Linked DNA regions of Mus musculus: region 2 is reported to be linked to region 1. The links are microRNA targets in miRTarBase. Many come from high-throughput screens and were not tested one by one. Region 1 holds a microRNA gene; the other region holds the end of a gene's coding sequence.

Region 1 (4,150 bases):
TAGATGCTCGGTATATTTAAAAATATTTATCATTATAAATGGACAGAATCAACGAAACTCTTAATGTGAGCAGGCTTGTAAAGAAATGAACATATAGCTTTCTGTAGCTAACCTAGATCGTACTAAAGATGAGTCATGTGTCCCAAAAGCACTCGGAAGATTGGAGCACAGTGATGGAGAGGAGGCAATGCCTGAGTCATTGTGTGGCTGTGCATTCCTGGTTCATTGACAGGTAAGATGGCAGAGCTATACCAGTTGTCTACTGTGGCTGATTGGAGCGAGCAATGAGCAAGTTCTGAGGTTACAGCTACCACAGCTCATCATTAGGGTTATCTCATTGGTTCTGAATTATTCAACGGAAGATACATTTTGGTCCCATGCCCCCTACAGGTCATGGTGGTACTTGTCAGTCATCCATGAATGAGTGGAGAATGGAAATGTGACTGACATTTTCATCAGCTCATTTACATTAGCTTTCTACCATCCAGCTCAGAGCTTCACATCTCACTGCATATCTGGTCGGTGGGACTCAGCAGAGCTCTCAAAAATTGGCCTGTCATGGCATGACGGTAGTGGTAAATGGCCCCAGCTTTGATAAAAAGGAGACATCAGTAGAAAGGACCAGTCACTTGGCCTTATTTCTATATGATCTATTGGTCACTTGAGGTTTTGCTCATGGGGAAGTAGGAGGGACATAACAAGGCAGAGAAAGAGTCACCCATCTTCCTGCTAGCAGTATGTGAGGCTTGGTTCAGAGCTCAACAAATAGAGCCATTCGGTTGCAGGCCAGCTCACCCAACCACACAATGAATGGTACTTTGTGGGGATCACTTTGTCCCTGCCTCTACCTTGCTACACCCTCCCAGCTTCAGCCCCACCAGACAGAAGAGCTCTCGGCCATCCCAGTGCAGGAGGAAAAGGGACAGGGACATAATTTGCATTTTCCCTTGGCAAGCCTTTGCCTAGTGTCTACATCAATCACTATAAAGGATAAATGCCACCAAGAGAATGGAGAGAGAGGGAGAGCGAACGAGAGAGAGAGAGAGAGAGAGAGAGAGAGAGAGAGAGAGAGAGAGCAAATAGAGACAGTGAGCTAGATTGAATAAACCTGCCCAACTCCTGATAGAGCGAGCAAGCTGGTCACAGGAAAGCTAGCCAGAATGAATCCTTGGAGATTCTCCTGAATCTCTGGGACTTCAGCCTCTAGGAAATTAAATCTCCTCCTGTGTCATGTTTGATAGCTGTGTTCCAAAATCATTGAGTCTGGGTCTGGAAGAAATCTGACTGTTCACAAGGGCCTTATGCAGAATGGGTATAACAAATGAAAGTAAGTGGATAGAGATAGGCCTGAATGCAGTATTTTTCTTAGTTTCGTTTTCTTCCTGGTATTGTACGTAACTGCATGTAAATAAGCCAGGACTTACTGAAGGCAAGGAATTGACCCAATACAACCCAGCTAATTAGTTGAAGCAGAGACCCAGAATCCTAATCCAGTCTTTAAATGGGGGTGGGGCAAATTCTCAAGTAGCTCTAGCTGATCTTGTACTCACTGTGCAGCTGAGGATGGCCTTGAACTCATGATCTTCTTGTCTCCACCTCCCAAGTGATGGGATTATAAGAATGTATTGCCACGTCTGGTTTAATCCTGTCCTTTTACAATAAACCATAATGCAGTATGCATTGCACAAGGAAACAAACAGCACACACACACACACACACACACACACACACACACACACACACACCAAGTGAAGGACTCTTTTCTTTTCCTGTACCTTTGCCAGGCAGTCCTAATTGAAATGTGGCCTTGAGAAAGCATCCCCACCCACTTCCCTGTCTCTCCATCCTCTTGCCTGTCTTCCCACAGCAAGGTAGCCATGCTCTGGAGTCAGGCCAAGGTCCAGGAGGTCTTTACTCTCTTTCCAGCCTGCCCCTCCCTCTTTTGTCAGCAGAGGCTTACTGGAAAGGCCACTCTGAAATGAAGATAACATCTGTGCGGTGCTTGTTAGTAGTTAACTGCTGGCTGACTTCAGGCTTGGCCATCTCCCTTGGTCTTGCCTGAGCCTTTTGGTCTGCGTTTCGCTTTCCTGGTTTTTACCTGTAACGTTGAGCATGGGGCTCAACAGCCTCTGCCCAAAGGTCCACAGCTTTCCTTAACTCAGCTTCTTCTGTCTAGTTTCTATAGAAGAGGAGGCAAAAACCAAAGCTAACACAGGCTTTGAAAGGTCAAGATACCTAAGAAGAGGAGGGGGCCTTCATCTGTCTCCATTATACAGATAGGGAAACTGAGGATTACTATCATGGTATCATGGCTTCATTTTCATCCCAGTGCAGAACATGAAAGAACAGCATCCCCAAAGAGCATGCTTGGATAGGAGTTCCATCCAATATGGGCAGAGTGATTAAGTAGCAGTCATATGAAGGGCAGTCCACTGGAGATGTTGGAAGACATAAAAGACACGTATTACTTTTACCATAAAATAAAGCACAGTTAAACTACTACTTTTGGTAAGCAGAAAGTTCTGGAAAATAATTCCCTCAAAAAAAAAAAAAAGAAAGAAAGAAAGAAAGAAAGAAAGAAAGAAAGAAATTGCATCTTCACCTTAATCTTACAGCTTCCCATTGCTCTGGTGACCCAAGCAGGTTCTCCATTGACCCGGCCTTTGTATGCTCTGAAACCAAAGATGACAGGGTGTAGGCCAGTCAGTCTTCAACAGCTCGGTCTTCTGAGCTCCAATATTGGGGAGGATAACACTGATGTGCTGTAGTTTGAGCTATTCCACGCAAATGAAGAGGCCTTCACCAAGACTATGCTCTGCTCCCCAAATCATGTACCCCCACAGAGGGTCCAGATGGTTCTTAGTTCTTCTGGAGGCACATGGTTTGAAGAGCAGAGCACAAGACTGGATTTTCATTCCTGCTCACCATCTTGGCCGGGTTGGACCGCCTCATCCTGCTGCTGTCCGGATTCCCCAGGATTCTCACTCAGCCTGGGATCTTCTGCCCTTGGATCCTCCTCGCCTGTTTACCCCAGCCGCACCCTGTCTTAGAAGCTTCTTGTTATTCTGGTAAAAATAAAATGTGCTAACCATTTGTTAGAATTCAGATTCTGACTAGCATGCCCACTGTTTGCTGTGCCCTGCCCTCCACACAGCTATCTACTGTATAAAAGAGAACACATCCTTAGACTCTGCTGGTAGGGCCCAAATATAGGACTCTCCGTGGAGCCCCCTCCTCTTGCTTCTTGCTTGCCTGTCTGAATAAAGGGTGGCACTGCTTTTCACTGCAAAAATATGTAGACATCAGCTGGCAGATGGCAAAGAGTGACAGTGGCTAGAGACGGTCACCTAGAGAGCTTAATTGTGCCCATTTAGCACTGTGCTAAGACCCCCCTGCACTGCAGGTGAAGAACTAGATCGAGCTGGTGAGTTATGCGTGGTATAAAGGTGGCTGAGGAAGCAGGTGGTTCCTTGAGATCAGTATATCCCCTTCTGGCTATACTCAAAGGCTCTGTCCACCCCACCTTCCAGACATGACAGCCTTCCAACGAGCTGCTTGTACTGTCCCCATGGGCTGAAGATTATGCTGCTAAATGAACCTGAAGCAAACTGCCCAGTAGAGTCAATCTAGAGGAGAAAGGAGCCTTGGGATAAGATCAGTCAGTGGGGAGATCACAAGGGGGAAGCCAGTCTTCCTAGAAATCTGAACTGGGAAAGGGAGGCCAACAATGGCTTCTCCTCTTCTTCCTCAGATTCCTCCTCCTGCTCTTCCACCACCTCTTCCACCTCTTCCTCATATTAACCAATTCAAAGGAGGGGTATCAAAAACCTTGAAGAAATAAGAATATGAATGGAACACAAAGAATTCTCTCAGATCCCAGAGCCAGAGAGAGGCAGGCAATGGAAGAAGAGGTGCAGAAATCCAGCAGCACCCACCATCAATCTTCAACCTTGACAAGTGGCATCAGTCCTAGGGTGGGGAAGAGGAGCTCTAGTGGGAGCAAATCTCCTGACCAGTAGGGAGCAAGGAAAAAGGAAAAAAGAGACCAACAGGAAACAGACCAAGCACTATTCTGCAGTGTCCACAAGCAGTTAGAGAAATCGGGAAATAACATTCTTCAAGGAATGTCTAGACCAGGGAAATCCAACTC
Region 2 (4,000 bases), not on the chromosome of region 1:
TGGTAGGGGTAGTGGCACAGGGGGTACCCAAGAAAGGCAGAGGTCCCTCAGAGAGTCCTCCCTTCCTTCACCATCCTCCAGGAGTGGTTCACGGTTTTGGAACACTACCGACGCACTCACTGTGTGGTATCAGAGCTTATCATTGGCAATGGCTACTACTTCCGGGTCTTCAGCCATAACATGGTGGGTTCCAGTGACAAAGCTGCCGCCACCAAGGAGCCAGTCTTTATTCCAAGACCAGGTGCTGTACCCTCCCTCACACTGTGAGGAATCTGGGGAAGGAGGGGGAGCCTCACTTGGGGTGACCTTCTTGGTACCAAGACTTGTCACCAACAGGCATCACATATGAGCCACCCAAATACAAGGCCCTGGACTTCTCTGAGGCCCCAAGCTTCACCCAGCCCTTGGCAAATCGCTCCATCATTGCAGGCTATAATGCCATCCTCTGCTGTGCTGTCCGAGGTAGTCCTAAGGTAGGGACTCAAGGTCCTGGGCTAGACTGACAGGAGGCTGGTCTCCTAGGCTCCTTATGGTTAACTCTCCCCAGTCTATATTGTCTTTCCCCTGAGCAGAGCCTAATCCCCCATTGCTGACTCTCTGTTCATTCTCAGCCTCTGGCTGAGTCTGGTGCTCTAGTGGGAATTTCTAGAATAGTCTCTCTGAATTCTCACCGGTTCTTCCATCACCAAAATGCTCTCCTTCTCTTCTGTTTACTTGATGTTCAGCCCAAGATTTCCTGGTTCAAGAATGGCCTGGATCTGGGAGAAGATGCTCGCTTCCGCATGTTCTGCAAGCAGGGAGTATTGACCCTGGAGATCAGGAAACCCTGCCCCTATGATGGTGGTGTCTATGTCTGCAGGGCCACCAACTTGCAGGGCGAGGCACAGTGTGAGTGCCGCCTGGAGGTGCGAGGTAAGGAGCCTTCTGGGCCAGGGCTTGGGAGAAAGCAGGACAGCACCATGGACCCTGGGCTTGGCTCTGCTGTCCTGGTTCAAGGAGTACCTCTGGCTGCTAGATCACTGGTCCTGACATGTTCAGTGGATCTTGGCTTTTGGAAGACTAGGGAATCACATGGTTTCCTTCCCTCTTACAGTTCCTCAGTGACCAGGATGGCTCCCCAGAGATGGCTAGGTACGTATTCCAAACCACCTAAGGCCAAGGGCCTAGGGTGGCTATCAGGAAATGGGGGTACAAGAAGCCACAGTTCATCCACAAGGCAGCCTATGTCTCAGGTACAAATGGATGCCAGGCTGTGTACCAGACCGGAAGGGAGTTGGAGGAGCACCCTTTTCTGCTACTGCATGTGTGTGTGCAACTGTGCATCCTGGAAGGACTGGCCAGCAGTGACACCAGGCAGGTCTGCTGGGTTCTGAAGAAACTGACCCTAAGGATAATGTTAATACTGGGAGCATAAAGTGTGTGGGCTTCAGAAGTGGTGACTGGGGACAGGCCCTTTTGGCTGGCTCATTGTGTAGGAGCAATAAAAGATCTGTGCCATTCCTGGGGGTTGATGTCTCCTGTTCATGTCCATGGGAAAGCATACAGCATTCGCTTGGTCACCCCACTCTCCAGTTCAGTGTCCTGGACTTGTGGGACATCAGCACTGGAAAGGATGTCAGCCTCCCTCCACCCTCATGCTCAGGTGAGGAAGTGTGGAAGTGAAAGCCGTTGGAGGCACAGGCATATGGGCCTCATGCCAGTAACCCAGGCAACACCAGCTGGGTGCTATACGGGGGACAGGGCAGTAGAGCCCTGTACTGTATTAGACATCAAGACTCCAAGAGCCCACAGCTCACGACCACATCTCATGGGACAGAGTGACTCCATGCAGCTCAGACACAGGAAATCACAACCTTCTCTGACTTCCTCCCAAGAGACCACATTTCCTTACAAATCTTGTGGCCGGCAGGTCTCAGAAGTGTCATGGCAGTGTGCTGGGTATTCTGCCCACAGGTGCCAGGGTTTCCCATGGCATAGATAGCCCATGAGGGTTGGACATGGGTTACCACTTTATTTTTTACAGAACCCTGGTCCGAAGGCCCTTGGGAGGCCCAGGTCACCACAGCACATCTGAACACACGTGTACAGGGTCACAGAGCAGTACCCCTGTTTTCCTGTGACTTCTTTATCAAGCTGTTCAGGTGTGAATGCCCAAGTCACCTCCTCTCTAGTGCCCAGAACATCTCAGGACTTTACAGCCGTAGTGTCGTAGGTGTTCCTTTCTGGCACCCCAGGAAGCCCAGGAGGCAGGAGGCCAGGGCAGGCTCTCAGTATGCCAACGCTGGATGCAGATGAGCTAGGGACAGCCTTCCTCAGGCCCGGGCTGAGAGGAGTGCACAGGAGCCCAAGTGGAGTTCAGGACATTTATTTCACATCACACAGCTGTACATTTTTCTATAAATAATGTGGAGCTGAAATATTTACATTCTCCTCCTATCCAGTCCATAGCTTTCTTCTGGCACTGAAGCCAGGAGACTCTGCCTGCAGACAGGCGTGCACTCTGGGCTCAGCTCAGCCCTGACCCACCTATCCCCGGCCCTTAGGCAGAGCAGCTGGTGCTGTCTGGGACACCATCACCTCATTCCTCCGTCCTCTCATGCCAAAGGCCAGGAAGACCACTGCACAAATCCCAGCTCGGCACATGGCAGCCACTCAGGGACACCCATCGATGGAGCTGGGGCAGGCAGCAGCATGACATGCACCCACAGTTTAGAAACTGTGAGGAAGCAGGAAGGTCGCCCACCACTTACTGAGCTTCCTTTGAACCTCCCCTCCTCCTCCCAGGCCCTCAGCCAGGAAGATTTGTCCCCAGGTGTCTTTCACTTCCCAGAGTGGAACTGTCCCAGGTGCCCCACAGTGCCAGATCATAGAGGACAGAGAGAAGACTCCTAAACTGGAGGATATAAGGACTAGGACAAGGGACCACAGTGCAAACATCTCAAGGACAGGCAATAGTGGGCTCACAGTGACCCCACAGACACACACACCACACACACCACACACACACACACACACACACACACACACACACACACACACACTCTGGAGCCCTGAGGGAACAGAAGGCTAGTCTGCTATTGTAGGAAGAGAAAGTAATGAGGCTAGCTTAGCCCCGTGACAGATGAACACAAAGACACTCAGACGTAAGAGAAGACCAGCTAGACCGTGGGAAGGAACTTGCTGAGAACACACACACATTCCCATCTCAGTCCAGCAGCTTCGGTGCTTAGGAGCAGCAAGAGGTGAGGGGAGACCCCTGGGCTTGGCCAGCTGTGGAACCCTTCTATCAGCTAGAGACAGGCCGAGGTGGGGTTCGAAGGTCTTCTTCACTGCTACGAACTGCGGCCACATACGAGAAGAGACACAACACAGAGTAGCAGATCTCGTGGGCCTGCAGGGAACAGAAGACCCGTTGGATCAGCCACACTGAGACTCCTTCTTAGGTAGAGGGTCAGCCTAGAGTACGAGGCCTGCCCTGACACTAGTGCAGGCCCCTGGGCTGAGTGAGCCTCAGGCAAGTCTCTGGAAGCCTTTCTCCTGAGAGAGGGGGGTCAGCACATGTACCCCAGATGAAAGGTGTGTTTGACTTGAGTTGAACCCCTGGCATCTAGTCCCCCGCGAGGGTCCACCCTTCTTGCCGGAAGGTTCCCAGGGAGCCCTGCGTGCTTCGGCCTGCTGTGGCTGGGACGCATACTCACCATTGGCGTCTTGTACTTGTGGCTCACCACTTCTTTAATTTCAGGAACTAAAACCGGACGGGCAAGAGACAAAACAGAAAGTTCAAAACTAAGAGCAACAGGGTCCTACTCCCCCGGGCGGCTGCGCCCGGTGCCAGGCTCCCCTTCCCTCTGTAGCCTCTCACAGTGGCTGTGGCGGCTTAGGCTACGATAGAACAGAGCTCAGCCTGTCCAGGCAGACTCTTCAAACAGACATCGCAAGTCTGCCGTGGCTTTTTACTTGATGCCTGCGATCTACGTGCTTCTATGCATGTCCCAAGGTA

The links. Region 1 holds the annotated microRNA mmu-miR-3475-3p (UCUGGAGGCACAUGGUUUGAA, at 2,868-2,888, shown strand). A microRNA usually pairs through its seed, bases 2 to 8, with sites in the 3' UTR of a target mRNA and lowers its output. Matches are read on the target gene's strand: a 7mer-m8 pairs with bases 2 to 8, a 7mer-A1 pairs with bases 2 to 7 and ends in A, and an 8mer does both.
Region 2: the mRNA of Madd is a reported target of mmu-miR-3475-3p. Seed matches in the 3' UTR shown: 7mer-A1 at 3,042-3,048 and 7mer-m8 at 2,894-2,900.

The regions. Positions count from the first base shown.
Region 1 is chrX:140,308,125-140,312,274 of GRCm38, forward strand. Mir3475 (microRNA 3475) reads left to right here and starts at 2,824; the gene lies at 2,824-2,888. The region is part of intron 3 of Gm32113 (predicted gene, 32113); the gene reads right to left. It also overlaps a transcript of Frmpd3 not described here.
Region 2 is chr2:91,135,011-91,139,010 of GRCm38, forward strand. It overlaps Madd (MAP-kinase activating death domain), which reads right to left. Exons shown (of 35, transcript NM_001177720.1): 34 at 3,699-3,745; 35 at 2,350-3,391. The coding sequence ends at 3,287. It overlaps Mybpc3 (myosin binding protein C, cardiac), which reads left to right. Exons shown (of 35, transcript NM_008653.2): 31 at 82-241; 32 at 337-473; 33 at 726-912; 34 at 1,094-1,131; 35 at 1,233-1,506. The coding sequence ends at 1,104. Among named protein-coding and RNA genes, the nearest start is that of Mybpc3, 19 kb to the left of the region's middle.